Canis lupus familiaris: one gene and its partners. The protein of the gene in region 5 interacts with the protein of the main gene of each other region in a pairwise test. Links are inferred from orthologs where the notes say so. Each region holds a gene or a part of one and is shown on either strand. Other genes may lie near its edges. The genes, in order: LITAF, TMUB2, TMCO6, UBE2V1, UBQLN1, HSD17B12 and mitochondrial dynamics protein MID49-like.

Evidence for each region.
Region 1: the proteins of UBQLN1 (region 5) and LITAF interact in binary tests that used the Homo sapiens proteins (3 or more experiments, as listed by UniProt). The two-hybrid records come from large-scale screens. The link is inferred for Canis lupus familiaris from reciprocal best matches to the Homo sapiens genes UBQLN1 and LITAF.
Region 2: the proteins of UBQLN1 (region 5) and TMUB2 interact in binary tests that used the Homo sapiens proteins (3 or more experiments, as listed by UniProt). The link is inferred for Canis lupus familiaris from reciprocal best matches to the Homo sapiens genes UBQLN1 and TMUB2.
Region 3: the proteins of UBQLN1 (region 5) and TMCO6 interact in binary tests that used the Homo sapiens proteins (3 or more experiments, as listed by UniProt). The two-hybrid records come from large-scale screens. The link is inferred for Canis lupus familiaris from reciprocal best matches to the Homo sapiens genes UBQLN1 and TMCO6.
Region 4: the proteins of UBQLN1 (region 5) and UBE2V1 interact in binary tests that used the Homo sapiens proteins (3 or more experiments, as listed by UniProt). The link is inferred for Canis lupus familiaris from reciprocal best matches to the Homo sapiens genes UBQLN1 and UBE2V1.
Region 6: the proteins of UBQLN1 (region 5) and HSD17B12 interact in binary tests that used the Homo sapiens proteins (3 or more experiments, as listed by UniProt). The link is inferred for Canis lupus familiaris from reciprocal best matches to the Homo sapiens genes UBQLN1 and HSD17B12.
Region 7: the proteins of UBQLN1 (region 5) and mitochondrial dynamics protein MID49-like interact in binary tests that used the Homo sapiens proteins (3 or more experiments, as listed by UniProt). The two-hybrid records come from large-scale screens. The link is inferred for Canis lupus familiaris from reciprocal best matches to the Homo sapiens genes UBQLN1 and MIEF2.

Annotation. Positions count from the first base shown.
Region 1 is NC_049227.1:31,518,769-31,522,694, reverse strand, and holds the start of LITAF (lipopolysaccharide-induced tumor necrosis factor-alpha factor), read right to left. Parts: upstream 2,801-3,926; 5' UTR 2,698-2,800; intron 1-2,697.
Region 2 is NC_049230.1:19,083,157-19,087,411, forward strand, and holds the start of TMUB2 (transmembrane and ubiquitin-like domain-containing protein 2), read right to left. Parts: upstream 2,801-4,255; 5' UTR 2,655-2,800; exon of another isoform or gene 2,601-2,654; intron 2,520-2,600; exon of another isoform or gene 2,106-2,519; 5' UTR 2,016-2,105; coding exon 1,981-2,015; intron 1,420-1,980; exon of another isoform or gene 1,169-1,419; coding exon of another isoform or gene 1,164-1,168; intron 432-1,163; coding exon 1-431.
Region 3 is NC_049223.1:34,924,537-34,928,695, reverse strand, and holds the start of TMCO6 (transmembrane and coiled-coil domain-containing protein 6), read right to left. Parts: upstream 2,801-4,159; 5' UTR 2,751-2,800; coding exon 2,666-2,750; intron 2,537-2,665; exon of another isoform or gene 2,518-2,536; coding exon 2,405-2,517; intron 190-2,404; coding exon 74-189; intron 1-73.
Region 4 is NC_049245.1:37,222,839-37,226,772, forward strand, and holds the start of UBE2V1 (ubiquitin-conjugating enzyme E2 variant 1), read right to left. Parts: upstream 2,801-3,934; 5' UTR 2,785-2,800; coding exon 2,763-2,784; intron 1-2,762. UniProt on the Homo sapiens protein: Has no ubiquitin ligase activity on its own. The UBE2V1-UBE2N heterodimer catalyzes the synthesis of non-canonical poly-ubiquitin chains that are linked through Lys-63.
Region 5 is NC_049222.1:76,347,002-76,351,119, reverse strand, and holds the start of UBQLN1 (ubiquilin-1), read right to left. Parts: upstream 2,801-4,118; coding exon 2,621-2,800; intron 1-2,620. UniProt on the Homo sapiens protein: Plays an important role in the regulation of different protein degradation mechanisms and pathways including ubiquitin-proteasome system (UPS), autophagy and endoplasmic reticulum-associated protein degradation (ERAD) pathway.
Region 6 is NC_049239.1:26,448,243-26,452,451, reverse strand, and holds the start of HSD17B12 (very-long-chain 3-oxoacyl-CoA reductase), read left to right. Parts: upstream 1-1,409; 5' UTR 1,410-1,546; coding exon 1,547-1,706; intron 1,707-4,209. UniProt on the Homo sapiens protein: Catalyzes the second of the four reactions of the long-chain fatty acids elongation cycle. This endoplasmic reticulum-bound enzymatic process, allows the addition of two carbons to the chain of long- and very long-chain fatty acids/VLCFAs per cycle.
Region 7 is NC_049226.1:41,511,469-41,515,643, forward strand, and holds the start of mitochondrial dynamics protein MID49-like, read right to left. Parts: upstream 2,801-4,175; 5' UTR 2,680-2,800; coding exon 2,613-2,679; intron 2,599-2,612; exon of another isoform or gene 2,419-2,598; intron 2,413-2,418; exon of another isoform or gene 1,824-2,412; intron 365-1,823; coding exon 210-364; intron 19-209; coding exon 1-18. UniProt on the Homo sapiens protein: Mitochondrial outer membrane protein involved in the regulation of mitochondrial organization.

The DNA of each region.
Region 1 (3,926 bases), on a different chromosome or scaffold from region 5:
TCTTCTGTTGGTGTCTTAACTAAAGCCTGTGAAACTACACACAGTTCTACTGAAGTCATGTGCACCCGAGGGACAACTATATTAGCCAAGGAAGTGTTGCCAAAGCGGCCCAAAATACCAATAGGGGTTAAAATAGTAAGAAGAAATTGCAGGGACCTAGGAAAGCACCACTCTGAGCACAAATAACAATTTTAAGGTTAAGAAAACAAGTTCAGAACAGACCAGGGCAGGCCAAGTGGGCACCGAAGACATCATCAACATGTCTGTACTAGCGACAGGCAGAGTTAAGGAGGTCTGTCTACCTGATGAGATGGACCACCTCTCCCACTGGGCTACTGTCATTGCAGTAAAAGCATAAAGAAATACAAGACAGGTTGTACGTGGTGCCAAGGCTCTAGGACTTCCTCTTATGAGCCTTCTTTCTTTCACCATCACTGTAGCTCTGGGTTAATTCATCTTTGGTGTGGGATGCCTGGGTGGCTCAGTGGTTGAGCGCCTGCCTTCGGCCCAGGGCATTATCCTGGGGGTCCTGGGATCAAGTCCCACATCAGAATCCCTGCGTTGAGGAGCCTGCTTCTCTCTCTGCCTCTCTCTCTCTCTCTCTCTCTGTGCCTCTCATGAATAAATAAATAAAATCTTTTTTAAAAAATTTCATCTTTAAAAAAAAAAATTCGTCTTTGGTGAGAGAATTTTAAGTTCCAGATGGGCACTAGCCCCTTCTTAGAGTGGTATCATACATGCCTCCATTCTGTAGGGGTGGTTAACAGCAAGAGTATGTACTGCTGATCTCTCTGAAAATTAACTTAGGTTGGGTTGGAAATGCCTTCTGGCTCCTCCCTCCAGTGGTTCCCCTTTTATGGTCCAACCCTCATCTTGTCTGTGCCTCCTCTGAAGCTTTGCCGAGACCCTTCTGTGCCTCTGGAATGCTGCTCCCCATATCCACCTGCCCCTTCTGCCACAGAAGCACAGGCCTCAGCTTTGTTACTAAACCCACTGTGACTATCCTGGCTCCTTGCTCACACCTCCCTCCTTCCCACTCCCCTCAAGATCCTTCCAGGCATTAGAAAGCACTGAATTTCTCACCTGCATGTGTCTCCATTTTCGACCCACAGTGTAGACCCCTCAGGGCCAGGAGCCATTTCTCCTGTGTCTTTTAACGGGCAAGGGTAGCACTTTGTTCCCCCACAGCCAGCCCATAAAAGGGACCGAAGGAGCAGAGGGAGGTCCACTCACCAAATTATCTAGTATTTTAGAGATCTAAGAAATTGATCCTCTGTCTCAGATCAATCACCCAAGTCACTTAATCCACAATAACACGACAGGGATACTTTTCCAAACACGAATGAAAGCACCTATTCTTGATGCCTTGAAGTAACAGGAAAGAGGGAAGATGGGCCTCCTCCATACTAGGTATTTCTTAGAGAGGCTGGTGCACATTCAGATCCCAGACAAAGGCCGGCTTAGAGTTAAGCCAAGTGCGGCATAGGGTGTTTCCATGCCAGGTAGAACCAGTCACCTGCTCTCTGGATTCTGATCCAACTATGATAAAACCAAACACGGTGGTGGAGTCCCAGATACCAGCTCATGCCTCCCTTTACAATGGCAGCCCGGTTCGTCCTATTTTAAAAGAAGTACCCTGAAAAGGCTGGGGGTGGGGGTAGGAAGGTAAGCGAGGTAGTCAAGCATATACCAACACAAGCCATGTCTTTCCTTACAAGGGCCCCAGGGGAACTGCAGGGCTAACCCGCGTTCCAGGCAGCCCCTCAACCAGCACCAGGCTACCAGGCTACGAGGCCAACCGGAGGGATTTACCCCTCTTGGGAAGCCGGGTGGGAGAGTCTAACCTGACGGGTTAGGAAGGGGAGGCCGGTGGCTTCCAGAACCCAGGTTTCCCTGAACACCAAATGTCAGTCCAAAAAGTAATGACATCCGCCCCATGAATCAGAAGCACAAAAGTGACCAGAAAACCAGTGAAGGTCCAACTGGCCTGATGCCTGGAATGTACCGCCCTTTCCAGAATATGCCCATTTCCCCATCTCCTGACCTTGACCAGGAGGTGCGGACACAACACCAACCCCACTGCCCAGGTCTGACCTGCAGAGCAGAGGGGAGCAGCTCACCTGCCAGGCCTGGCGGGGGAGGGGTGACGCCCACCTCTGCCACGGGTTCCCCAGCCCCCAGCCCGTGCCGCCAGCACCCAGCCGACCCCGGCAGCGGGCGGGCCTGGGCCACCCCTGCACTCACCCGGGGCCCCCTGACCCGCGGGGAGGCGGGCTGGCCGGCGCCACGGCTGCCTTCGCGCTCGGTCCGCTCCCCCCGGGGGCTCCCGAGGCGCCCGCGCGCCCGCAAAGGCACCGGCTCAGGATGGCGGGGGCGGCCCTTAGAAGCCGAAGGTCTGAGGCCGGCGTCCGGGAACTCTCCGGGACGATCCCAGCGCGGGCGACCGGCCCACTCGGGGGCGCAGGGCGGGAACCCAGCCCGTCCCGCGGTCGGGGAAGCCGGCGCCGGCGGGCCCCGCGCGGAACAGCTCGGCCGGACCCCTGCGCCCTCCAGCCCGCCCCGACCCCCGGGGCCCGCGCGATGCCCCGGGTCTCCCGGCGGCGGCTGCTCCCGAGCCCGGGGCCAGGGCTCACGCCGCCGAGCCCGGCCCCCGCCCGCGCCCCCGCCCGCGCCCGCCCGCGCCCGCGCTGCACTCACCGCCGCCCGCGCCGCCAGTCGAGCCGGGAGGTCTGAGCGCGCGGTGCAGCCGAGCTGCGGGGCCGGCCGAGCAGGGGGCGGGGCGATCCCAGGCTGGGGGCGGGGCCTGCCGCGCAGGGGGCGGGGCTAGTCATGGCCGGGGGCGGGGCCGGCCGAGCAGCGGGCGGGGCGATCCTTGGTTGGGGGCGGGGCCTGCCGCGCAGCGGGGCGGGGCGAGCAGGGGGCGGGCCGGGCCGAGCCGAGCAGAGCCGAGCCGAGCCGGGGCCGGCGGCGGGGCAGCTCCGGCTCCCGCCCCTCCCTGCTCCTCGCCCACCCAGCGCAGCCTGGCGGGGTCCCTGCCCGAGGTTGCCCACCCTCCGGGTTCTGCCCCTCCCCTCCGCCCCTCGGGACACCCCGCAGAGTACACCCCGACCCGGCTCACTCCCGGGACGCCCCCGCTGACCTCGGAGCCCCCCATCGTCCGGTCCTGGGTCGCCCCTTGGGGATTCCGCTCCTACAAGTCGATCCCCTCCCCTCCGCGTCCTGATTCCCGCCTCCAGCTCTCCCCGCTCCCCTAGGCCCCCCATCTCTGGCATTCCTTCCTCCTCCCTACCCTCAGGCAGCGGGGGCCCATCAGCCTCCAGTCCCAGGTCCAAGGTTGCCTGCCCTCCGCAGGGCGGCCTTTCTCTCCCCAGTGCTCAGTCCTGCACATTCAGACGCATCCACACAGCCCGAAATACTCCGTGTGCCTTTGGGCAAGTCACGCACTCCTCTGGGCCTCGGTTTCCTGTGTATAAAATGGGCATAACAGTACCTGTCTCATAAAGTCTAAGAATGCACCGAGAAGGGTTTAGCACAGATTAGGTCTTAAATAAAACCAATCTGCTGTGCTACTACTTCCTAGGCCCCCAGGGTGGTCCACCACCCCTAGGTACTTTCTCCCTGGCTAAAAGCTCTGGAAGTCTGTATCTGATCCTCTGCCCCTAAATGGGTGCTGCCTGCCTATTTGACCAGAGCCTGCCTGCTAGAGTATTAACAGCAGCCCTGATCCAGCAGGGGACTCTGAGAAGTCCTCACCAGGCATTAAGGAGCCTGTGTGGCTTTCAGAGTACAAAGTCCTGGAGATGCAAGGAACCCTAATATGGCCATCTAGAGAAATGCCACTTGGGTGAAGAGCCTATGAGCCACTCGAGAGGGATTCATAGACCTGGATCCTACTGGACCATCCTCCAGTGATAGAATCCAGCTGC
Region 2 (4,255 bases), on a different chromosome or scaffold from region 5:
CTGGACTGCTGCTTTCTGGGCCCGCTTGTCTTTTGGGCAGGCCTTGGATGTCAAGCAGATGCTCAAGGCTCGGCTCAATACCACCCCCAGCTCCAGGCTCCCCTGTGGAGTCTCCCCCACCTTCGCCAGCCTCTTCAGCCTTCTCATCATTACTCTCTGATGGATGGGGGAGTTCAGCTGGCTCTGGGGTGACTTGGCCTGCTACTAGATGGTCCACATGCCCCAGGTGGAGGACGGATGAGTCTCCAGCTGACACAATGGTGCCCAGGAGCTGGTTGCTACCGCTGTCTGCTACGTAGGTAGAAAGCCAAGCTAGGACCAAGGCTAGAATCAGCACCACCACACCTGCCACCACAGTCACCTCATTACCCACACCCTCAATGAGGGTGACATCAGAGAGCTCCATGGCCTGGCTGCTGACTGGGTCGACACTGCAGGAACAAAGGGGGGCATAACATCAGCAGGGTATATAGGGTTGCAACCAGGTTCCTAGTTTGTTTAGGTCCTAACTGACCCAGTGCTGAAAGAAAATAGAATTCGGTGTCCTGTAGAAGGGAGAACAAACCGTCCTACCTCTGGACCTCCAACCTAAAGCTAAGGACTTAACCCTTTGCCTCTATTGTGAGACACTAGCTTTCAGGTTCCACATCTTCCCCCTCTCACATTTCAAGCTCCCAGTGAGCACGGATCACCAGGAAAACCTCGTGGCTTTGTTTGGTGACTGCTGCTGCAACTGGCTGTTGTTTTTTTGTAGGTGGGGGAAAATTTTTTTGCTTTTTTGCGCCCTCAGTTCCTCTGGGATTTCTTTTTTCTTTTTTCTTTTTTTTTTTTAATTTTATGATAGTCACAGAGAGAGAGAGAGAGAGAGAGAGAGGCAGAGACACAGGCAGAGGGAGAAGCAGGCTCCATGCACCGGGAGCCCGACGTGGGATTCGATCCCGGGTCTCCAGGATCACGCCCTGGGCCAAAGGCAGCCGCCAAAACGCTGCGCCACCCAGGGATCCCTCCTCTGGGATTTCTATCACTTGGTCTAGCAATGATGCCCCCCTGAGAAGCCTCCAAGGTGGCTTCAGAAAGACCAAAAACTATGAAATGTTTTATTTTAGGGTCTTCTGGAGGCATAGTGCAGCCACTCTTGCCAGAATGTCTCATTTGAACCCTACCTCATTCACGGTCACGTATTCAGGTTCTGATGTCAAGAACCAAAAATTTAATTTTCCGTCAGAAGCATAGACCATCCCAAAAGGACACATCTGTAGGGGCCAGCAGCAGACATTATGCAGCAGGCACTGTTGTCTGCCCACCTCTGAAACTCTTCTGAAAGTCCTAGGGAGCAAAGGAGGACAGGCACGAGAAACACTACCCTCCTGGGTCACCACAGGTTCACAACGGCAAAACCACCACCTAAGTGGAAAGGATCTGGAAAAGATTCCAAAACAGCTCTCACAAACCATATCCCTCTCTCTCCTCATGTACTGTATAGGTTTCCCTTGGCAATTTCTTAGAAAGGCAAGAAGGACCTGGGCTTGCTCCTTAGAGTACCTTCTCTTTCCCTTGGAGAATGTGCGGCTTTCACAGCTGTCCCCAGGCAAATCCAATCCAATGATTATCATTAATAGACTATCCTCACAATACCTATAAAAACCTCATTATACTTATCTACCTGTCCATCTCTCCCTACTAGGCTTCTGGAAGACAAGGATCACCATGTATTTTTTTATGTACCCTAGTGCTCAGTATAATGCTATAGTAGCTGCTAAAAGAATACTTGTGGGACATATCAACATCTCAATAGCTTCCACATCCTTATTTAGAACATGGGCCCTGGAGTAAAAACAAAAAACAAAAAACAAAACCACCAAAAAACAAAAAGCCTAATTATAATCCCAGCCTTGCCTCTTACTAGCTCTGTAACCTCGGACAACTTTCTCAGGGCCTCAGCTTTTTCATCAGTAAAATGGGGTTAAAAATAGTACCTACCTCATAAGGTTGTTTTGACGGTGACGGGAAATCATCGAAGCAAAATACTTAGCACAGTGTCTGGCACATTGCAGTGATTCAATAAATAAATGGTAGCAATTACTTATCGCTTCCACAACTAGCCCCTAATGGTAAGAAGGTTAATGTCACCGACCCTGATTTACAGAAAAGGAAATTGCAGCGAATAGAAGCGAAAACGACTGGCACAGACACACGGCACTTTCGTGGGCAGGGGCCAGGCAGGACCCCAGGTCTCCTGCCTCAGAGGCCTTTGCTGTCTTCTCAGTCTGTGGGCGACCCGGACCGCGCGGTGAGGAGGGGTCCCGACCCTGCCTTTTCTGAGGCGAAGGCTCCGCGTGGGGCGGCCCTATTCCCGCGGGGCTGGAGAGGAGTCCGTGGACCCACCCGAGAGAAAGGCTGCCTGGTCCCTGGCCGCCAAGCTCAATTCTCCCGGCCCGTAAGGGGTAGAGACCCGTGAGGGGGCCACAAACCATCCACACCCCTCAAACTTCGGGGCGGGGCTGGGGGCCTGGGGGCGGGGCTTGAGGGCGCGGGGAGTCATGGGAAATTAAAGGAGGACTGAACCGGTACTGTGCTTGGATAGGGAAGGCGTTCCTCACCTGAAACGGCCAGACTAAGTGTTTTGACTTCGCTAGGACGGCCCATGGACTCACCTTTCCGTAGGGGCCGGGGGAGGGGCTGGTATCCCCGATTCTGTCCAGGGTCCCGTCTCTTCCGGCTTCTCCCGGAAGCTGTTTTAATCAGAGACAGGAAGTCCCGCCTCCGCGCTGTGCACTGATGGCGTAAGTCTACGTAAGGCGGGCTGACGTAAGCGTATTCTTCAATAGGGACAGGTTTCTCAGCGGAAGGAGGGGCGGGGTTATTGTTGGCGGAATCAGCGCCCTTCTGGGGCGGGGCCACGCTCAGTGGGCGGGGCCTAAAGAGCCCCTGAGTGAGGGGCGGGGCCACATGGAGTTGGGGAGGTGCTTGGGAGAAGGCGTGGCTTCGCGTCTGGAAGACCCGCGTGCTGGCAGAGCCGGGCAGAACGTGAGCGGCGCTTGCCTCGTCCCGGCGTGTTCTTCCGGTCTTTCTCCCAGCCTCCCGGGCTGGTTGGGTTTATTATCGCTCTGTAACGCGCCTTGAGCTCCTGGTTAGCGAGATCAGTAGGGACTGGGCTCTCTGACCTCCAAAAGTTCAACTCAGGGCTAGTAAGAAGACGGGGCCATTTAGTCACCATTCGGGTGGTCCAAGATTGCGGCCCCAGGTAGTGTGAGACCTTGGTAAATAAGGCGAGAAAGCATTTCAAAGAAGGCACAGATTCAGCGCAGACTTAAGGCCCAAGAAAAGAAGCCCAGAAAGAAAAAAAAAAGGCTCAGCTCCAAAAACGTAGCCGGATATTGCAATTAAAATTCTTTCGAGGTGGGGATCCCTGGATGGCTCAGCGGTTTAGCACCTGCCTTCGGCCCATGGCGTGATCCTGGAGTCCTGGGATCGAGTCCCGCATCGGGGCTCCCTGCATGGAGCCTGCTTCTCCCTCTGCTTCTCTCTGCCTCTCTCTCTTTCTGTGTCTCTCATGAATAAATAAGGTTTCAGCTCAGGTTATGATCTCAGGGTCATGAGATTGAGTCCCCCCAAGGGGCTTCCAGATTTAGCGGGGAGTCGGCTTGGAACTCTTCCTCTCCCTTTGCCCCTCCCCCTTGCTCTTTCTCTCTCTCCAAAATAAATAAGTCTTAAAAAATTTTTTTCTTCAAAAGACATGTTAGGATTTTGTTGTTTTCTGACGAACTATTTATTGATTGAAGTATAAAAAAGGCAGACGAGGCAAATTCATAAGAGTTCAGTGGTTTTCACCAACACACCAATAGAGCCAGCACTCAGATAAAGAAATAGAAAATGATCCCAAAGCCACCCCCCCCTCATGTTCTCTTCCAGGCACTAATTTACAAAGCATAGACACTATTATGACTTCTGTTACCATAGATGAGTTTTGTTTTTGCACGTTGTATGAATGGAATCAAGCCATCTGACTTATTCTTCTTTCCAAGTCTTATTGTGAAATACACATAAATTTACCACTTTAACCATTTCTAGATGGTTTTTAAAAAAACTTTGAGAGACAGCAAGGGCGTGAAAGAGAGAGCACAAGCACTGGGGAGGGGTAGAGGGAGAAGCAGACTCCCCAGTGAGCAGGGAGCCCAATGTGGGACTTGATCCTAGGACCCTAAGATCATGACCTGAATTGAAGGCAAACGCTCAACCAACTGAGCCCTTTAGG
Region 3 (4,159 bases), on a different chromosome or scaffold from region 5:
TGTGGCCCATCCCCTCCACACTCCTGTCCATCCCTCAGAGGCCCAGGCCCCCACTCACGCCACCCCCACTCACAAGATGAAGGCCTGCTGTGTCTCAGGATGCTGCAAGCCTCGACGAAGGCTGACCAGAGCCTTCTCTCTCTCCTTTTCCTCGGTCCCCCGCTGCGCTAACCCGAGGAACTGCTGGATCTGGAGCACAGGGCAGGGAGGGGAGAGACAGCAACACAAAGTTGCCAGAAAGCAAGCATAGTCCTACTCTGCCCACTTCACCTGTGAGCACTCCAATGTCCCACCATCTCTAGAACCTGTCATTCACACTAACGTGGCTAATATGCATCAATCTTGCAGTAGAAAGAAGGGCGAATCAGAACTGGGTTTTTTTGTTTGTTTTTTTGTTTTTTTTTTAATTTTTATTTTATTTATGATAGTCACAGAGAGAGAGAGAGAGAGAGGCAGAGACACAGGCAGAGGGAGAAGCAGGCTCCATGCACCGGGAGCCTGATGTGGGATTCGATCCTGGGTCTCCAGGATCGCGCCCTGGGCCAAAGGCAGGCGCCAAACCGCTGCGCCACCCAGGGATCCCAGAACTGGGTTTAATACCAGCCCTGCCACTTCCTTTACAAGAACTAAATCTGTTTTTTTTTAAGACTTTATTTATTTATTCATGAGAGACAGAGACACAGGCAGAGGGAGAAGCAGGCTCCCTGCGGGGAGCCCGATGTGGGACTCAATCCTGGGACCCCAGGATCATACCCTGGGCAGAAGAGATGCTCAACCACTGAGCCACCCAGGTGTCCCCTAAATCTGTTTTTAACCTGAAAAATGGGAATAACATCTTCCCTGCTGTCTTAGAGCTATTTCAAGGATAACATTTAAACCTTTCTTGGGATGCCTAGGTGCCTCAGGTCATGATCCCAGTGTCCTAGGATCAAATCCCATGTGGTCTCCCTGCTCAGCTGAGAGTCTGCTTTTCCCTGTTTCTCTGCCTCTGCTTTCACTTGTGCTTTCTCTCTCTCAAATAAATAAAATCTTTTAAAATAAAAAAATAGAAATAATAAAAATAGAAAAAAAAAAAACCTTTCAGGATGGCACAACCTACCCCACTAGCCATTCTCCCCATGCAACCTATACTCCAACAACACCTAGCATAATGTGACTTGTTCTTTTAATGCTTCCAAGCTTTTGCACACACTTTTTTTTTTTTCCTTGGGATACCCTCCCCAGGCCCTCCACTCCCTTCAGATATCTGGGAAATAAGCCCTTTCTGGGTTCCTTTCGAAGACTTAGGGGTTTCTGTTGTGCCTCATGTTTCCTTCATGACAGGTGGTAGCACGTGTCTTCACTGGGCTGCTGTTAGGACCGCAAATAAAGGGACTCTCCACAGAGCACCTGGGTGGCTCAGTTGGTTAAGCCTCTGGTCATGATCCCATGATCCCATGGATCCTGGGATGGGGTCCCTGTTGACCTCCCCCTCCCCCAGCTCCCATCCGAGGGGTGCACTCTTGTTCTCTAATAAATAAAATCTTTAAAAAAGGGGGGGGGACTCTCCTTGTCTGTGTACCTCAATATCCATCAGTGTCCTGGCATAAAGTAAGCACAAAATGAACCAATGGTATAACCTAGGCATGAGAGCTTATGTAAACAACATACATAAACACAGGCAATATAAATAAGGGGAGTACCTAATGCTTGCTGAATGAATAAATCAGCTAAAACTAATCATGTCATTCACTTAATAAATAATGAGCATCCACTATATGCCAGATACTATAGGGCATCTGAGTTTTCAATGAAAAGTAAGATGGGGTCTAGACTCCCAGGGTTTTAAAGTCTAGTTAGAGAAACGATAAACAAGCAAACAATTAGTACAATTTATATTCTGCAAACACGCTGTCAAGACAGAACACAAAAAAGGACCCAGTAAAGCCTTGAGATAGGAAAGAGCCCAATATGTCTTTCAAAAATGGAAAAGGGGGAACTTTGGCTCAGATGAGTAAACTGGCAAACTTGGAGGTAGGCAAACGTTAGATCATACATCTAGGAAGGAAGCAGATGTGGATTTTTAAGACATCTGATATATGGAGAATGAACTTGAAGTCCGCAAAGCATAGATGCAGATGACCTGTTAGAAGGCAATTATTAGTCTACGGAGCAGAGGATGGTGGTAGCTGCGATGTACACCATCGTAAAGGTGCCAGGGCTCTTTAGGGGTGAAGAACGGCTAGGGCTCGACGTACTGCTGTGGGGACAAGGGACAGAGTTGTAGAGGATGATCTCCCAGTTTCTGGCTTGGCCCACTGGATGGAGGTATTTATTGAGGAGACCGCGTTCAGGTTTGGCGCGGACCTCTAAAGGAATTTGGCGCCCGGCGGCGTAGACCTCACCGCGTACCAGGTCCCCTCACCTCGGCTTCTCCGAGGGTCATGGCCACACATCCCCCTTCAGTTTCCTCCAGGGCGTCATCTCTCAGCAGCCTCTTACTGATCAGTTGCTGCTCCCTCCGCGCCTTCCGCAGCGCTGGGGACAAAGAAGCCGGCTGAACGTAGAAGGGGCACCTAGGACCCTGAATCCCTTCAGCGACCCGGAGGCCCCCTCACCCAAACCCCAACCGCCAGACCACCACCACCGCGCCCCGCATCCTCCCGTCTCCCTCGCCCTCCCGCACCTGCCTCCCGCTCCCTCCAGCGGCACCGTAGCTCCTCCACTGCGCAGCCCACCGGCCTGAGGCGGCCCTGCCGGCCGCTCCACATAGCGGAGCTGGAGAAAATTCGCTCCGAGCCCAGAACCCGGAAGCCCGAACCTACAAGATTGCACGGACCGCGCAGCCGCCGCGCAGGCGGAAAAGGAGGTGCGAGTGGGCGCTCAGAGGAGGTGCTCAGAATGGAGGCGGGGCGGGGCGAGAAGGAGGGGCCAGGGGTGCGGCGGGCCGGACCGCGGGAGGGGCGGGGCGAAGGGAGGGGAAAATGGGGTGGGGCAAGAGCAGGGAAGGGCGGGGCGACAGCTAGAAGCGGGCGAGACCCGCAGCACCTCCTCTGCTTCTGATTGGTATTTCTCCTTCTCAAGTCTTTCTTTTCTTTCTCTCTCTTTTTTTTTTAAATATTTTATTTATTTATTCATGAGAGACCGAAGGAGAGAGAGAGGCAGAGACACAGGCAGAGGGAGAAGCAGGCTCCTTGCAGGGAGCGCCAGGCAGGACTCGATTCCAGAACCCCAGGATCACGCCCTGAGCCCAAGACAGGCGCCCTCACGTCTTTCTTTTTCCCATTTCCGGGAAGAAATTCAACGTCGTACGGGTCCAATGCGTCACCTTCCACTCAACAAATATAACCTCCCCACACATAACATACCCTAGACGAACATTCAAAACTACTCCGAATTCTAGGAAGATTTCACCCAAAACTGGACTCCAACTGATGAACGCTGGATTTGTATTTCCCTTTTGAATATTCTCCACGACGACAATTATCCCTATTATGTTCGTATGAAGAAAATGAGACAAATACAATTATTTCACTGTTGTGCCCCAAAGTGATTCGCATTATTTTAGGGATAAAGTAAATCTTAAACCAAATTTTGAGCACCGCTAACTACTAGTTACTGGGAAAACACTGATGAATTTTTTAAAAACCGTGTTCCTCACCCTCAGAATCTGCATTGTGACAAAATAAGCTTCTTCACTGGAAGGGCACTTCGCCTTATTCACCTCTCCTGGGATTTTCTCTTTGTTCCCTAAACAAACCCTACTCTTTTCCTTCTCCAGGCTTTTGCCCAGGCTGTTGTTCTGCCTAGAGCTCTGTCTCTGCCTGGGGGCCCCCCAACCAGTACCCTTCCCTTAATTAATACCACCCTCAATATCTCAATTCCCAATGTCCCCTACTCAGAACTACTGGACCTCTGTCCCTGTCTTAAGAGCCTATAGCACCATATACTTCATAACCTTTTTTACTGTCATGAAGTTACAGTGTAATTATTTCCTCCCCAAACCCCCTTCACACCTCCAACAGAATAGAGTCCTGGTAGCACTTAAGAATTTTTATTGGAGGGGATCCCTGGGTGGCTCAGTAGCGCCTGCCTTCAGCCCAGGGCGTGAGCCTCAAGTCCCAGGATAGAGTCCTGCATCAGGCTCCCTGCATGGACCCTGCTTCTCCCTCTGCCTGTG
Region 4 (3,934 bases), on a different chromosome or scaffold from region 5:
CAATCCTCTCTTTTTCTTAAAGTGGGCTCCCTGCCCAATGTGGGGCTCAAACTCACAGCCCTGAGTTTGAATGTCACATGCTCTAACAACTGAGTCAGCCAGGCACCCTGTCATTAAGACTCATCCATTCAATGAGTATTTACCTAATGCTACTTCATATTGGCCACTTTGAGGGCTTCCCTTCACACTTAATAAAACCTAAAGCCATATCTGCCCAACTTATTTCCTTAACAAGCCTCTTGTGCACACTATGGCCTTTTACCTGTTCTTTCAACAGACCGGGCTTGGTCCTGCCACAAGACCTTTGCACTCACTGTCTCTACCTCTCTTGCCTATGATATACACTGCAGGGTTGGCTCCTTCCATCATTTACATCAGTTCAAATGCCATCGTCTCAGAGAAGCCTTCCCTGATACTACTTTTATCACTCTGTATCACATCACACAATTTCCTTCATAGCACTGCTATCTGAAATTGGCTTAATTATTTAGTCCTTGAATGGCTTTCCTCCTGACTAGAATGTAAGCTCCTCAAGGACAGGGGCTATGTCTATCTTGTCCACTATTCACAGTGGGACATAACAGGCCCTCAGTAAATGTGTGTTGAATAAACAAAGGACTTTTCGGAAGCCCACTATTTAGAGCACCTTAAAGCCTGTTCTATGCTATCTACACCATGCCAAGTGCTTTTGACACTAGACAGGAGTTGACGATGTTTTATCTGACTGCATTAGCATTTATGAAGCACTCATCAATTGGCAGGGCTTCAAGAAGTTAGAATTAAGTAGCTGTTAAACCAGATTGTAGGTAGCCAATCTCAAGTGACTGCAAACTGGGCTGAGCTGCAATATGACCATAATGCTGGCTGCCACAGTTACACTGTAGCCCCCACTTCACAGCAACCTGACAGGGGTGCTATTATGGTGAGAAGTTTCTCACAGCAGTCTGGCCTGACTCAGCCTCTCTCTTCTGTGGCAGTATCTTTAAAAAAAAAAAAAAAAAAAAAGAGTTGACTCAGCACTATTCCAGCTAAAAATCAAAATCTAGGAAAAGGATATGTGGTCTCCTCTATGCTTCATCGGGGACCCCACTGCTCTAAGTATAAAAGGCAGCTTGTGATAGGTCATTTCAGTCTGATCCCCTAGAGCCAATTCTCTCTATTGCTACAGTAACAGACAAGGATGGTTTCTTGGGGGTACTAGAGGAGCAACACCCTGGAAAGAGGGACTCCCTTCACCCTGTTTCCTTTAGGTCACCAAGCCTCTCTTAACAGTGCTGATGCTGTGGCCTTAACTAACCAGAGGATTTGAGTACCCAGGCTCGTGGCCCTGCTTGCTTCCCTCATCATCACCCTCTCTGTGAGGACCTCCTTGGCCAACATCCCTGGTACCTCAGAGTACAGCTCTCTCGCCATAGGGGGACATTCAGTCTTCCCCCAAATCCTGCACTTCCAAAATCTTTCTTGCCTCATCAACCCCTCTGGGGGACCTCCCCCAGCCAATCTTTACCCCTCCTCCTCGAGAAAGCCATCTGAGTCCATCCCCTGAGGTCCATTTGTAGAACGTTAACTCTGAAACAGACCCTTCAGGATTTGATCCTCCGGCCCATCCTAGGAGTGCAGAACAAGGAATCGAGTCTCAGAATAAATGCTGCCTCCCTCAAACCACAAGGCACTGGATGAACCTCCCTCTCTCAAAGTACAGCTCCCTTTATTTCCTCTTCTGCTTCATGGAGATGGGGGTTTGTCCAGCTTTCCTGCCCCAAAGTCATCCAGAGTCTTCGTTTGTCCCTCTCCCCATGCCCATCCACTAAATGGGGAACCTCTGAGCTGAACCCACGTATCTTTTACCAACATCCAAAGGAGTGCTAGGGAGTGACAATGGCCACAAAACAGACACTTCTAGAGGACGCTTCTCCCCCCCCCCCCCAAAAAAAAAGAAAGAAAGAAAAAAATCTCTGAAACAGGACTTTTTTCCTCACTCTCACCCACTGCATGGAGCTTCCTTCAGTTGATCCTCCTCAAGTAAAAGCCTGATGATGACGGGATCATATCCCTTTGGAACCTGAGAGATCGTTTTTCCCTTCTCACTTGTCCCGTTGGGATGCGCTTTGATACCCCTTCCCCCAGAAAAGCCACCTCAAGACGCCCCCTTCCCGACCAACACGGAGATTTCCTCAGCTGACCCCATCCCCCAAACTAACGCTGAAGCCGTCCCCTCAACCAATGCAGGATCCTCGGTCACCCCCCGAGACCCCGTTTTCTCCTCCCGTCCTCCCTAAGGGCTTTTCTCAAGTCCCTGCCACACGGACATCCCGGGGCTGCCCCGTCGCTCGGACCTCCAGCACCCAGTAAAGGACTCTCATCCGTTTCGGGGAGCCTTCTCATCCCCTAGGAGACCTCCTGGTCCCCGCCGAGCCGCCAGCCTCCGTCTCCTCAGGAATGCCTCGGGGCTCGCCCCTCGCTAGCTCCGGCCGCTCAGCGGTGCCTTGGGGCCGGTCCTTCCTCTCAGCCGGGCCCTCACGTCGCCCGGGGGAGCCTGTGGGCCCCGCCGCGCCGCCCACAGGCCCCTCAGGCCCCCGCCCGTGCTTCCGGCCACCGCCTGCTCCTCCTCCCCCCTCAGGCCGCCCGGCTCGCCACCGCGGAGCCAAGCGGACAGAGGTAACGCAGAGGCCCTGGTCCCGCCGCAGGGACCTTTGCGGGTCCTCGGTCCCCGGCCCAAGCCCGCGCCCCCTTGGCCAGCCGGGCCCGGCGCCCCAGCTCACCCGAGCCCGTGGTGGCTGCCATCTTGCGTCGCTGTCGCTCGAAGGCCGGCCCCTTCTTCACCCCCCGCCCGTCCCCGGGCCGTTCTGCGCAAGCGTGCGCGCCTGCGCAGACGCCGCTGCTGACGCCCGCTCCGCGGACCGCGCGACCCGTTGCCGGGAAGGTTTTTTTTTTTTTTTTTTTTTTCCCTGCCTTTTCAGAGGAAGGAAACATGATGTGCGTGCGGGAGGGCCCGGCAACCTGCATGTTCCTCCAGGCTCGGGTGCGAAGGAGATACTGAGGTGTTTGGTGAGAAAGGCAAGGGTGATCAGACTTGGGAGGACGCGATTGTGGAAGATACAGAAGAAAGCTAAAAAAGAAAAAAAGAAAAGAAAGCCTATTTTACTTCGTGCATTTCCTTGTCTAGTTGGATCCTCACAATATCTCTACCAGGTCGGGATTAATGTGAAAAATGAAACTGAGGGGCAGGTTCAGCGATTTATCTAAACTTAGCGGTTAGGTGGCTGAATCAGAATTTGAAACCCGGCCAGAGTCCTGGGCCAGAGAAGCTTTGTTTTGGGGCATTAAGGTGTCAAGGAAAGCATTCCACTCATTCATTCATTCATTCATTCATTCATCCATTTATTCATCCAAAGAAATACTTAACTAAGACCTACTATGTGCCAGGCGCTGTGCTAGGTCCTGGGAATGGATATACATCCCTGAAGTCTGTTCTTACAGGCTTACATTCTAGTCAGAGAGCTAGTTAACAAAGAAATAGGAAAAGATATAACTATGATAGGATAGAGATTGAACCTAGGAAGGGGCAGCAGGGGGTGGTCGGGGAGGGCCTCCTAAGGTGGTTACATTCAGCAGAGACTGATTAAGAGGTAGAGGGAACAGCATGTGCAAAGGTCCTATGGACACATATTTGCAAATGTATGTTAAATCCAAGAAGGGATTGATCTTTTATTATAAGCGGTCTAAGAAGTCCTGATGTGGATTTAGAAACAAGCTGAGAGAGGTGAAGGGACTGCCTCAAGGTCACACAGCTAAACACTGGCAGAAGAAGGACAAGGACTTCCAGTACAGAGGAGCAAGGAAACCGGAAGCCCTTATCCAGGACATCCCGTGCATTACCTTGTTTTGACAGTAGTGCCTCCTAAGCATTTCTCAGCTCCATCTATTTCATCCA
Region 5 (4,118 bases):
CTGACACACAGCAATTTCCCTTAACAAGAAAAGGCTCAAATCTATGCAATACTTGTTATATCTAAGTATACGAATATTCTAAAAGTTTCAAATGATAAAAATGTTTTCTAAGACTAGAATATATGTTGCCTGAATATTTCAGAGAACTAGATTTCAAAATCTTTTACTATAACCTAGAGCACTACAAAATCCCGGAACAAGCTAATTAGACACGTTACCTGGAAGCTCCCTTCTGCTCTCTGCACTAATTTTAATGAACGAATGACAACAGAAAGCACTTTTCAGAATAAAAATTCAAATGTCATCAGAATAAGTTGCTTCGGAAAAGCTTTAATTTAACCAATTTACTTTGGTTACAGAAAAGTAAAATTAAAACTCCCACAGGCTTTAAAATTCTAATGTCACTCTCACACACACAATATATATATAAATCCTAACAGACAGTACCTCATAAAATAACTTAAATGTACTTTTCTATTTATAAAATATTGACTCTTTCCAATCCTTTACAATAAAATGCTGAAAGCAGGCATGAAGGTGGAGACCTGAATTAGCAATCCTAGAAAGAAGATCTAAGGGCTTCAAAAGCTAATATACCTAGCAGAGCTAAAATGAAAAAGACTGACACTATCAAATGCTAGCAGGGATGTGGAGCAACAGGAACTCCCAAGAACCTTTGGTAGAACCTTTGGTGGAATACCGAATAGTATTCCATTGTAGGGGAATATATCACATTTTACTCTTTATTCATCAGCTAAGGGGTTGTTAATCATCTGGGTTGTTTCTTTTCGACCAGCCTTTAAAAAAGAGCGATAGAAGCTCTTTTTAAAAAGACAGTTTCTCATAACTAAGCCTACAACTACGCTATCACCCAGTCATTCCACTTCTAAGAATTTTAACAGGAAAAACTCCCTCTGTCCAACAAAAAAAGTTTGTATGTTCACAGCAACCAACTGCAAGAAGCCCATGTGGCCCTCAGCAGAATGCATTAATTAATGGCATATTCACACAGTGGAAAACACAGCAATAAACAGGAATTACTGGCATATACAAGAATGCATCTCAAAAACATTACACTGAGTGAAAAGACCTTACCCAACAGAATATATACTATATAATCCCACTTATGTGAAGTTCTAGAACAGGCAAAAACTAATGGTGAAAAAAATCAAAACAGTGATGTATGGAGGGGAGTGATTGAACTGTAAAGTTCTACATCTTGATAAAACTTTGGATCATATAGGTGTATTTGTTGAAAACATTTAATGATACTTGCAACTTACTCTAAAATGCATTCAAAAAGTAAAAGGAAGTAATACATGATTAGTTGCGTGATAAAGCAAATAAAACAAAGCGTCAATTGTAGGTGACGAACTATGAATGTTCACTGTACCATTCTTTCAACTCTGCTAGATGTTAGAAAATATTAAAATGTTAAGAGAAATTTTTATACAATTGGGGACCCCCCCACACACACACACACACAAAAGGTGATTCAGTAGGTGGTAAAAGTTTCTCAGTTGATGGTACACTCTACTTACTGCTCTACTCTATTTACACCACTATTTCCTGCTCTACTCTACACCACCTTTCAGAACGATTATGTAAACCAATATCCCATTTACAGTTTATGAGAAAACTTACATGTACATTTCACATTGTTGTTCCCTCAAACTGTTCCCATTTTAGATCGTCAGAGGTCAACAACTATGCAAAATATTTTCAACAATAAGCTACAACAAATTTGTTGAATTCTTCAAGATTCTTAATTGAACAGCAAAGTTTGTACACCCGAACCCAATTTTAAGCAGTAAATTATCTGGCAATATTCTCCATTAACTCCAATTTTGTTCTCTTGCATTCGACTGCCACCGCTAATATCTGCAAAACGTGGCTACCATCCCTCTAAAATCAAACAAAAACCTTCCCGATGACTGGCACCTAAGGGATGATAAACACTAAAAAGAAAACCGCAAGTCATCAATGAAAGTCATCCACCTTTCTTCCTTAAGGCTAGTACTATTAAGATGTGGCTGAAAACGATTTCTACGTCATGGTTAATTTTTTTTTTTTTTTGAAGATTAGAAGGTAGAAAAGATTTCAGCAATCAAAACGCAGAACTAAATGTACACGTGCTCCTCGCCCCAAAATCGACCTTAAGCTGCAAGCAGGTGAAACAATGGGCACCCACCCACCCTTTTTTTTTTTTTTAACTCAGGAGACAAAACCGCAGAGGAGGCTACCGCGAACCCTCGCCCAGCCCGGCCTCCACCCCGCCCGGAGCGCGGCGGTGGTCCCTTTCCTTTGTGAGCAGCGGGAGGGAGGCGGCGGGGGGCGGGGGGCGGGGGGCGGGGGGCGGGGGCTGGGGCGGGGGCTGGTGGTCCGCGGACGCGGGAGCGGGGGGAGGGGGCGGCGTCGGCGCGTCCCACAGCAGGCCGCGGGGCCCCGCCACAAGCCTCTGCGGTGTCCCAAGGAGCACACCCGGCAACTTGGGTGTGATCTGATTCGGGGCGAGACCCGCGAGGCGGGCCGACAGCACCTCGGGGGACGGTCTCCTCCCGCCGCGGGCGGAGGTCCCGCCGCCACCCCCACCCGGGCCCGCGGCCAGGGCGGCCCTCACCTGCTGCACGGAGCTGTTCTCGGGCACGGCGAACTCCTCCTTCTCCTTCGGGGTCTTCACGGTGACTTTCATGATCTTGGGCTCCGCGGACGCAGCGGCCGCGGGGGCGCCTGCACCTTCGGCCGCGGCGGCGCCGTCCTGGGAGCTCGGAGGGCCGCCGCTTTCACCACTCTCGGCCATGGCGGCGGCGGCGGTGACTCAGGCGCGCAGGAGGGAGCGGGCGAGCGAGGGGGAGCCAGCAGACGGCAGAGCCGGCCGGCCCGGGCAGCGGAGAACGCGGGGCACGCCGCCTCAGTGACAACCGGTGCGGGGCCGCCCTGGCAGGCGAGGGGCCGCGGGGCTCGGCGCGGGCTCCGGCGCAGGCCCGGGCTGGGCGCTCGGCAGCCGCCGTGAGTTCAGACGCCGCTCGGTCGCAGCGACATCCGCAGCCGCCGCCGCTCTTCCTCCTCCCCGCCCCTCCCCCCACGTCCCTCGGCCGGCGCCGCGCAGGGCACGCCGGGTAAGTCGGCTGGCGGCGTCGCCGAGTCATGCCCGGCCAGCCCCGCTTCCAGCCCCGGCCGCCTTTCTTTCCCTGTCCCGGCTCCATGGCCCAGAGGGTAGGCGCAGCCGGAGAGGAGAGCTAAAAGCAAAATGGGGCGGGAGGGATCAGTTCATTTCATTTCATCCCCTTGGCTAAAAAACAAATTAGCGTGTTCTGGGAAGCACGGTAACGGCGCGCGGTGATGACCTCACGCCTAGCGAAGTTACTAGAAAGGAGCTCGACCACTGGGCGACGCGGACGCGCCTGCGCGCTGTGGTTCGGCGGCGGCCCCCGCCCCCTGCGGACCCCGCGGCGGCCGTGCCCGGCCCCTCCGCGCCGTAGCGCTCGCCTCGCCTTTGCGCGCACCCGGGACCCCGGGGAGGGCAGTGGGAGTGCCGGGTGTCGCGGTAACAGCCGTCCGCTTGCCCACTTGTGGCCTTTGAGATGCTTGCCCGTACTGCCCGGTGCGCGGGAGGTGGAAGCTACGTTAATGGAGGAAGGCGCTTCGTCGTAACGAAGGAAGAGTGGGCCGTAGCCACCCTGCGCGATCCCGCGGAGTCACTGCCCCGCGGCCCGGGCGGCCCGCCCTCGGGTCAGCCGGTTGGGTCTGGCGATCAGGCCACCTCTGCTGACAGGCCGCCGCCCCCCGCCCGGACAGCCTGCGCGAGCGCCCCGGATTCTCTGGACGCTGCCCCGCAAAGTACGGGGGCAGAAACGGGGGCCCAAGGGCTGCCCCCCCCCCCCACCTGGGGCGCTTGAATGAAGCCGAGGTGTTCGTTTTACATTCTGTCAAGTTATTCCTGCAGTTCAGATTTTAGGTTCAAAAATCCTTTTTAGTAGAGTGTGGGTATAAATAATTTAATTATCTCCCCCCCCCCTAGAACTCGGGCTTTGAAATGACGTCATTTGCCTTTAAAGATGACTTGCAAGGAATATAGAACCCAGGACATTAGCTTTATTAATCAGTATTGCGCAAAT
Region 6 (4,209 bases), on a different chromosome or scaffold from region 5:
GTAAGGAGCTCAGATATCTTGAGGGCCCTTAGTTGGTGAGCAATGATGAATCAGGATACATGCATCAGGGGCTATACTGCGGTGAAGACTGGCTGGAGGGCGAGGTTGAGACAGAGCAATGGTGGAATTTCATGGACTTGGACAGGCAGCCTCGGCCGAGGTGTCAAATTCAATCAAAACACAATGTGCCTGCTCGACTCACACGGCTGATTTCTGCTAGACACTTGACAGTTTATAAAGAACAGTAACAGCCTCAGGGTTATAGTTAATTAATCTGATGAGAGGGTGGAAAAAGAGTAGGGGGGCTGGGCAGAGGGCTAAGGCTCTGAAAGCACATATATTAGGACATTATTACCTTAGCTTCAGGATATGTCGGGCTGTTGATTCTTACAATTACTACCCTTCAATTCGTGCCTTTTAAAAAAGCCTCGAAATCAGCAGTCCCTACCGGCTAAGAAAATGTTAGGGATTTTATATGAACCCAGATCCATGCCCGAAAAAGGAAACAAAAACTCTTGGGTGGACGAGAGAGGGAGGGCAAAGCAGTCTATTACGTTACACAGGTGCTCGCGCTTACCTTGTGGAGCTCTGCCAAGGTGATTTTCTTATCTCTACTAGGTCCATACACTTTTCTATCTCCCCACCCCCTCCAAAATTTTTTTTTTTTTAGATTTTTAAAAAGAGAGTAAAGAAACCTCTCTATCGTCATGGAGTCTCTTCCCCAAACTCCTTATTCATCAGCCTGTGTTCCTCAATTTCTCGTTCATCTTCCAGCTCCTATGTCCCCGTGCGTGGTCCTTACCTGGTCCATGGTCCTTACCTGGGTCCATGGAGTTATTTGCCCTGAACTCCAGGGCCTCGGAGACGCGGCGCTTAGAAGGCCCCCGTGCGGGTCACCGGGGGAAGGTGCCCGCCGCGGCAGGCACAGACGCGCGCGACGCGAGCCTCGACCCGGGAAACTTCACGAGGGCGACGGCGGCACGTGCACCTGACGGCAGGATAGAGCCCCTGGTGGGAACCAGCCCGCGCCTCCCCGCCCACCTGTTACTACCGCCCTCCATTCATTCGCAACATCGCGGACCCCGCCCCCTGGAGTCCCGGGCGCCCGCCCAGCCGGGTCTCGCGGGCCAATCGGAGCGCAGCCTCCCGCAGGCGTGAGCACGGCCGCAGCCAATCAGCGGCCGGCGCGACGCGGTGGGGTGAGCCGGGCGGCATCCCGGGGGCGTGGCGACGCGCGGGGCGGGGCTGCCGCGGGATTGGCAGGCGGGCGATCAGCCGGCGCCGAGGGGACCCGCGCCGGGGGGCGGGGGGAGCGACGTGGGCGGGGAGCGAGGCTGGAGCCAGCCAATGGCTGACGCGCTCCGCGCAGAGGGCGCGCCGGATAGCCAATGGCGGCGCGGCTATGGCGCCGTGGGCGGGGCTTAGGCTCGAAGCGGCGCCGGAGCCGCGCGCGTCGGTGTAGTCTTCGCGGTCACGGCCCGCGCCTCTTCCTGGATTCATTCATTCGGGGCTCCATTCACGGAGGTAGTAAGGCCCGGCTGGAGCCATGGAGAGCGCTCTTCCTGCCGCCGGCCTCCTGTACTGGGTCGGCGCGGGCACCGTGGCCTACGTGGCCCTGCGCCTCTCGTGCTCGCTCTTCACGGCCCTTCGGCTCTGGGGTTTGAGTCACGAGGCAGGGGTCGGGCCGCAGCTCGGAGAGTGGGCAGGTGAGTGCAGCCCGGCGCCCCGCTCCGGGCCCCCCCCGCTCCCCGCGGGCCCGCTGGACCCCGGCCGACCCAGGCTGGCCCGGCCCGGCCGACTGTGGAGGGGCCGCGGCGGGGGGCGGGGCCTGGCGGGGGCGGGGCCTGGACCCCTCACCTCGCGGCCCCCCGGGCAGTGCCCGGCGCTCGGCGGCTCGCCCCCGGGACGGCGCGTGTGTGTGTGTCTGTGTGTGTGTGTTTTAATAAAGTTTTTCGCTTGATTTGAATAGTGGCCCCGTGCGCAGGACGAAAGGCATTCTGTGGACTTTGCGGGGCATGAGGAGGGACGAAGAAGACGTGGAATTTCACAAGTCTTCCTGCCTTTTTTTTTTTTTTTTTTGAAACTTGCCTCTCTCCCAGTTATTTGGATTCGGTCTGTTTCGTAGGATCTACGGGGTTTTGTTTTGTTCTCGATTGTCCTAAACTTCCCTGGAGTCCTGCGGTGTCACAGAGCCACCGCTTCTGCAACACGGCTGCTCTCCAGGTAGAAGTCAGGAGCAATTTTTTTTTTTTTTTTTTCAGAAGGAGGTTTATAGGAAAAGGCCTCGTTCCATTCCGCTGGCGGGCCCTAGAGGTGGAAGGGAAAGGTCGCGGGGGAGAAGTGGGGAAATCACTTGCATCGAAGTTTTGTGCTTGCTTTCTTTTTTTTGTTGTTGCTTTTCTGACTTTTTCGTTTCTTCTTTTTTGTTGCTTTTCTGTCTTTCATTTCTTCTTCTTCTTCTTTGTTGCTTTTCTGTCTTTTTCGTTTCTTCCTCCTCCCCCTCTTCTTCCTCCTCCTCCTCTTCTTTCTCCTCCTCCCCCTCCCCCTCCCCCTCCTCCTCCCCCTCCTCCTCCTCCTCTTCTTCTAAACCAAGTAGTGTGCTGTGGTCGGTCTCTGTGTCTGCGATTATCCTGCTATTTCATGACTGAACGTACACTCACTTAGCATTTTGATTGAATCTAGGAGTGATTAGGGATTGCTGTCAGACTAGGCTCAAGTAAGTACACAAATAAGGCAACTCCACAGTCCTCACTTTATTCATTCAAAAACATTTAAAGAAGTTAGTAGGAAAAAAACATAAGAAATTTAACCTTTTGGACAGCGACGTAAAGAGATTTCAAGCAGGAATGGATGGATGTGTAAGAGCTTTGTCCAGGATGTGAAGCAACTATTCACGTTATAATACGTATTTTATTTATTCATTCATTCATTCACTCATTCATTCATTCATGATAGACATAGAGACACAGAGAGAGAGAAGCAGAGGGAGAAGCAGGCCCCATGCAGGGAGCCCGATGCAGGACTCGATCCTAGGACTCCAGGATCAGGCCCTGGGCTGAAGGCAGGCACTAAACTGCTGAGCCACCCAGGGATCCCATATTATAATACTTATTTTTAAAAGTCTCTTAGTGTTTTCTGATATTCCTTGAAAAAGAAGTGAAGTGCTCAACTTGATTATAATAGAGTTTATGATTTCACAATTGACTTGCCTAAGTTCTTGATTTGGAAAACTTGCTTGTGAACTTTTGAGATAGTTACACAAGATTCCAGTGCATTAGGAAATCGCATATCAAGATGAAGTTTTGTGATTTGTCAGCAAAGAGTAATGATAATAACTTTTTTTTTTAAGATTTTATTTATTTATTCATGAGAGAGAGAGGCAGAGACACAGGCAGAGGGAGAAGCAGGCTCCACGTGGGACTCTATCCCGTGGGACTCTATCCCGGGACCTCTGGGGTCACTCCCTGGGCTGAAGGCAGACCTCAACCACTGAGCCACCCAGGTGTCCCTTAATAACTTTTTTTAAAATAATTTAAAAATTTTTTTTATTTATTTATGATAGTCACACAGAGAGAGAGAGAGAGAGGCAGAGACACAGGCAGAGGGAGGAGCAGGCTCCATGCACCGGGAGCCCGATGTGGGATTCGATCCCGGGTCTCCAGGATCGCGCCCTGGGCCAAAGGCGCTAAACCGCTGCGCCACCTAGGGATCCCCCTTAATAACTTAAAAAAAAAAAAAAACTATTTAAAATATAATAGGCCCCGGTGACTAATAACTCAGATGGTCTAAGTCATCATTGAAAAGGTTTGATCCCAGAGGAAGGATACTTGCTAAATTGAAGGAAATGTCTAAAAAATTTAGAAAAGAAATTTGGACCAGAATGCTGAGATAGAATAGAGAGGATCATAGTGTTGTAAAGTGACTTTGTGATTGTTGAGTTCAGTCTATCCTGGATTGTTAGAAAAATCTGTTCTTTAGGTACTTAAGCAGAAGAAATGATAACTTGTTATTTGTAACATTACATATATGTGGTGGCCTGAACTTAAAAATATTTACTTTACCTCTCCAAATTCAAGGAGTCTTTGAAAAACAAAGTCTTCCACAGCTTTGTATCTGTTGGAGGGATGCACTGAAATAATTTGACAAGCAAAGCAGCAGAGATGACGCTTGAATAGAGTTAAATTGTGATTAAAATTAGGTAGATAATTG
Region 7 (4,175 bases), on a different chromosome or scaffold from region 5:
GGTGGCCCTGTCAATGAGCTGCCGGCAGAGTGACATGGATCAGAGCATCCGAAGCCTGTGTGGCCAGGCCAAGGCCAGGGGCAACGCCAGCCAGGTTGCTGGGGTAGAGAAGCAGGTGCCAGCTTTGGGCACTTCCCCACCCCCTCCCCCTGGGGCCCCACTGTCCTCCTCGGGCAGCCCTAGCTCTGAGCGGCTCAGCCTGGCCTTACCCGCTTCACAGCCAGGGTAGCAATTCCCAGCACGGCGGCTCCGCCCACGCCCAGCACCAGGCGGGCATTGGCCAGGAGGAAGTCCACGGTGCTGCCCAGGACCTCATCACGCTGCTTCCCCCGTTTCTGGGAGAACTCGGCCATGGTCTGTCTGCCTGTAAGAGGATGTAGACATAGACAGCTCTGTGGGGGGGCGGCCAGGCTGGCAGTGGGGCCGACCCCATCATGCTGGGGCTGTCGTGAGTAGAGCTGATGAAGGGAGTTCCTGGGAGTTTCTCAGGAGAAACGGTTTCTTGGGAGGAGATGGGGCTGCCCAAACCCCCACCTCTACCACACTGCAAACCTGCAAATAGCCCACCCACTCCCTAGACAAGGAGCTCATGTAGAAAGGCCCTGAGAGGGATCCCTGGGTGGCGCAGCGGTTTGGCGCCTGCCTTTGGCCCGGGGCGCGATCCTGGAGACCCGGGATCGAATCCCACATCGGGCTTCCGGTGCATGGAGCCTGCTTCTCCCTCTGCCTGTGTCTCTTTCTCTCTCTGTGACTATCATAAATAAATTAACATTTAAAAAAAAATTTTAAAAAAAAAAAGAAAGGCCCTGAGACTTGTGCCAGGTGAGAAAAGGAGGCCCATCTTCTCCATCCCATCCTCAAGGACCCCTGACATGACCTAAGATGGTGAAGTGAGTCTCATCATCGCTATCCCCATTTTAGAGAGATATAGGCTGCCGAACCACACAGTGAGTGGTGGGGACCTGGACCCATCCTGCAAAGTGTCCTGACTCTGGCCCACCCCCAGAGTCCAGTCAGTCTACTGGAGCCTGCAGCCAGCTCCAAGAGGCTGCTTCGTCCTGCTTCTTAACCGGGGCTGGGCATAGGCAGGAGGGAACTCTGGCCTAAAGAAGACACCGCCAGGGGTCCTAGCAGTCTGCCCTGCAGGGCCCCTCAGGCCTTTGACCTCAACAGAGGTCCCCCCGCCACCAGATCTCAATAGAGTAGCCCCTGGAGGGAGAGCTATCAAGTCAAAGGACAGGACGAGTGAGCTGGCCCAGGCTGCCCAGGGAGGCACATCAATGAAGGCTGAGGCCTGCCTGTGGGGGCAGCAAGCAGGGTAACTCCAAAGACCCCAAACAGGACATCTGGCTGGCTCCATCTGTGGAGCGTCTGAGTCTTGATCTCGGGGGATGTGAGTCCCAGCCCTATGTTCGGTGTAGATTACTTAAAAATAAAATATTTAAAATAAGTAGGTAGGGATCCCTGGGCGGCTCAGTGGTTTAGCACCGCCTTCAGTCCAGGGCGTGATCCTGGAGACCCGGGATCGAGTCCCACGTCGGGCTCCCTGCGTGGAGCCTGCTTCTCCCTCTGCCTGTGTCTCTGTCTCTCTCTGTGTGTCGTGTCTCTCATGAATAAATAAATAAAATTAAAAAAAAAAAAAGTAGGTGAAAAATAAAGACCCCACCCCCCATCCCAAACAGAGAACTTGCCCAGTGCCTCTGGACAGGGGCCTCTCTGGGCCTCTCAAGTTTGAGACAATGCAGGGGTAGCGGGGATGGGGGAGCAGCTGTCAAAGACTGGAAACCGAGGCAACAGAGAAGGGAAGATGAGGCTTTGTTCACCTGTAAAATGGCACAGGCGTGGTGAAGGTTTACACGTGGGGAACCCAGAACTATAAGGCTGGGTAGGCCTGGGTACTTGGGAAGTGGAGACAGAGATCCCACCCAGGCCTAGGCCCCCAAACTCCAACCTCTGGTTCTTCCGGGGGATTTCCTGCCTCAGGCCCTGAGAGCAGAGGGGGCGTGTGGCCGGGGTGCAAGCTGAGGCCCGGAGGACCAGTCAGACACCAGGCAGCGCTGTCTCTCTGCGGATGCCTGAACCAGATGACCGTGGGTTCGCAGCCAGCCCAGGCACCAAGGACTTCTGTCCTCTCGGATCCGCTGTGGGTGCCCAGGGCTCAGTTGCCAGGTGACGAGATGCCTAGAGCAGCTGAAGCCTGAATCACCACCGGAGTCAGCCCCAACCCCCGCCCCCCGATTTGCCCAGAGTAAAAATAGGACAGGAGGGCTCTGGGGCCTGGGCTGGTCAAAGGCTAGGGGAGTGCCCCACCAAGGCCCGGCGGCCGCTTTTAGTTACTTCCTCCTCGATGATCAATACTGCAAGCCATCTCCAGCGGAGCCCAGAATCCACTTGCAAAGTGTAAAAAGCTTTCAATACCTCCTGCCTGAACGGGACTCAGCCCAACCCCTGGCGGGGTCGCGCAGGCCGCAAACCGCAGCCTTCCAACTCCCGGAACGCCGAGAAGGCGCGGGTGGTTAAAAATAACCCGACTCCGCGCTGCCGGCCCGGCCCCCACCAGGCGCCGGGAGACGCCGGGAGACGCCGCCCGCCCTTCCCCTCCTCCGCCACACCTGCTGCCCGGGGCCGGGGCTGGGCCGAGCGCGCAGGAACCCCGGGGAGGGCCTGGGAGGGGCCCATCCGCGCGGAGGGCACCAGGCCCCGAGAAGTGCACTGAGGCGCCCAACACGTAAAGGGGCAGGCTCGACACTGGAACTCCGGCCCGGGGCGCAAAGCCCTTCCCCCCTTCCCCGGCCGTGACCCGGGCCCCAGCGGAGACCACGCCCCCGACCTGCGTCCGACGCACGCTCCACGCCCCGGTCTGGGGGACCCGGGCCGCTCAGCCGCACTCCGGTCGCACGGGCGTCGCGGCTTCGGCGCAGCGACCGCAGGACACAGCGGGTGCGACCCTGGGTCCTGAGCCCGGGCCCGCCTGGGAATGGAACTCGGAGGACCCGGGAACCGAACCCCGAGGCCCCGGGGGCGGCCCTGACCTCCGACGCAAGCAGACGAACAAGCCCCGGGTCCAATCGGAGCGCCCGAGGCCCCGCCCACGTTCCAAAATACTGCGCGGCTCAGCCAGTGAGGAGCAGGCCACGCCCCCCGCTGACGAGCGCGGCCCCTCGGGGGCGGGCCTCCCGGACGCACTCGGGCTTAAAGGCGCAGGGCGGGGTGGCGACCGGGACCCGGGTCGGGATGAGCCGGACCCGAGGGCCTGGTGGGAAGCCGCGTGTGCTCGCATGGGAGGCTGCGGAGTAGACAGAACTGTCTGGGCTCGCGTTGTTTCCGGGGCCCGGCAAACAGGTGGTACCTGGCCCGAAGGCCCGCTTGCCTGACCCTTGAGGTCACCTCTGAGAGCGCAGTGTGGCTTTATTATTTTATGTTGGCGCGCGGGGCACACAGCGTGACCCAGGAGGCTGGCCCTGCCACCTGCGCCGTGTAACCCTGTGCGGGCCACTGCTCCGTTCTGGCCTCAGTCTTCTCTCCCCTGAAGTGGGTATCACAAGGCCCCTCCCCCCGCGAAGGGTGACCGTGCATAGAACCTGTGGCTCACTCGGCGTTTATTTCTTGGGGACCTATTATGTGCCGGCTGGTGGGGGCGCAAGGAAGTAAAGAGAGCCTGAATGATAACGTGCCTCTTATCGAGCGCCTGCTGTATGCTGCGACCTACACCTGAGTTTGTTTCTGGCGACAGCCTTAGGAAGCATTTCACAAATGAGAAAGCTGAGGCAGGAGCAGACCTGGGGTTAGCCCAGAGCCCTAGGACCCAAGGCCTAGGTCCGTGCGCCCCCGGGCCTGGGTCCCTAATCGCTGCAGAGGTCACGGCCGGACTCCAGCGGCTGCGGCTGCCCCGGGGGCGGAGCCCGGGCCTGCAGGGTCTGCGGCACCCCCCGCCATAGGTCGCTGAAATCAGCGTGGAGGTTAGAAGCCTGCGGGAGCGCAGGGGGAGCCCGGACTTTTTCCGAGGGCCCGGGGTCAGCGGACGGCGGGGGAAGCCGAGGCCCGGGGAGGCCCGGGGAGGCCCGGCGCTCCGGGTTCCCCGGGTGACGCGCGGGGCCGCGGCCGGGGCTCCGCCTGCCGCCGGGCCGGGCGGGGGCGGGTTAAAGGGGCGGGGCCGGCGTCGGCCCAGCCCGCGG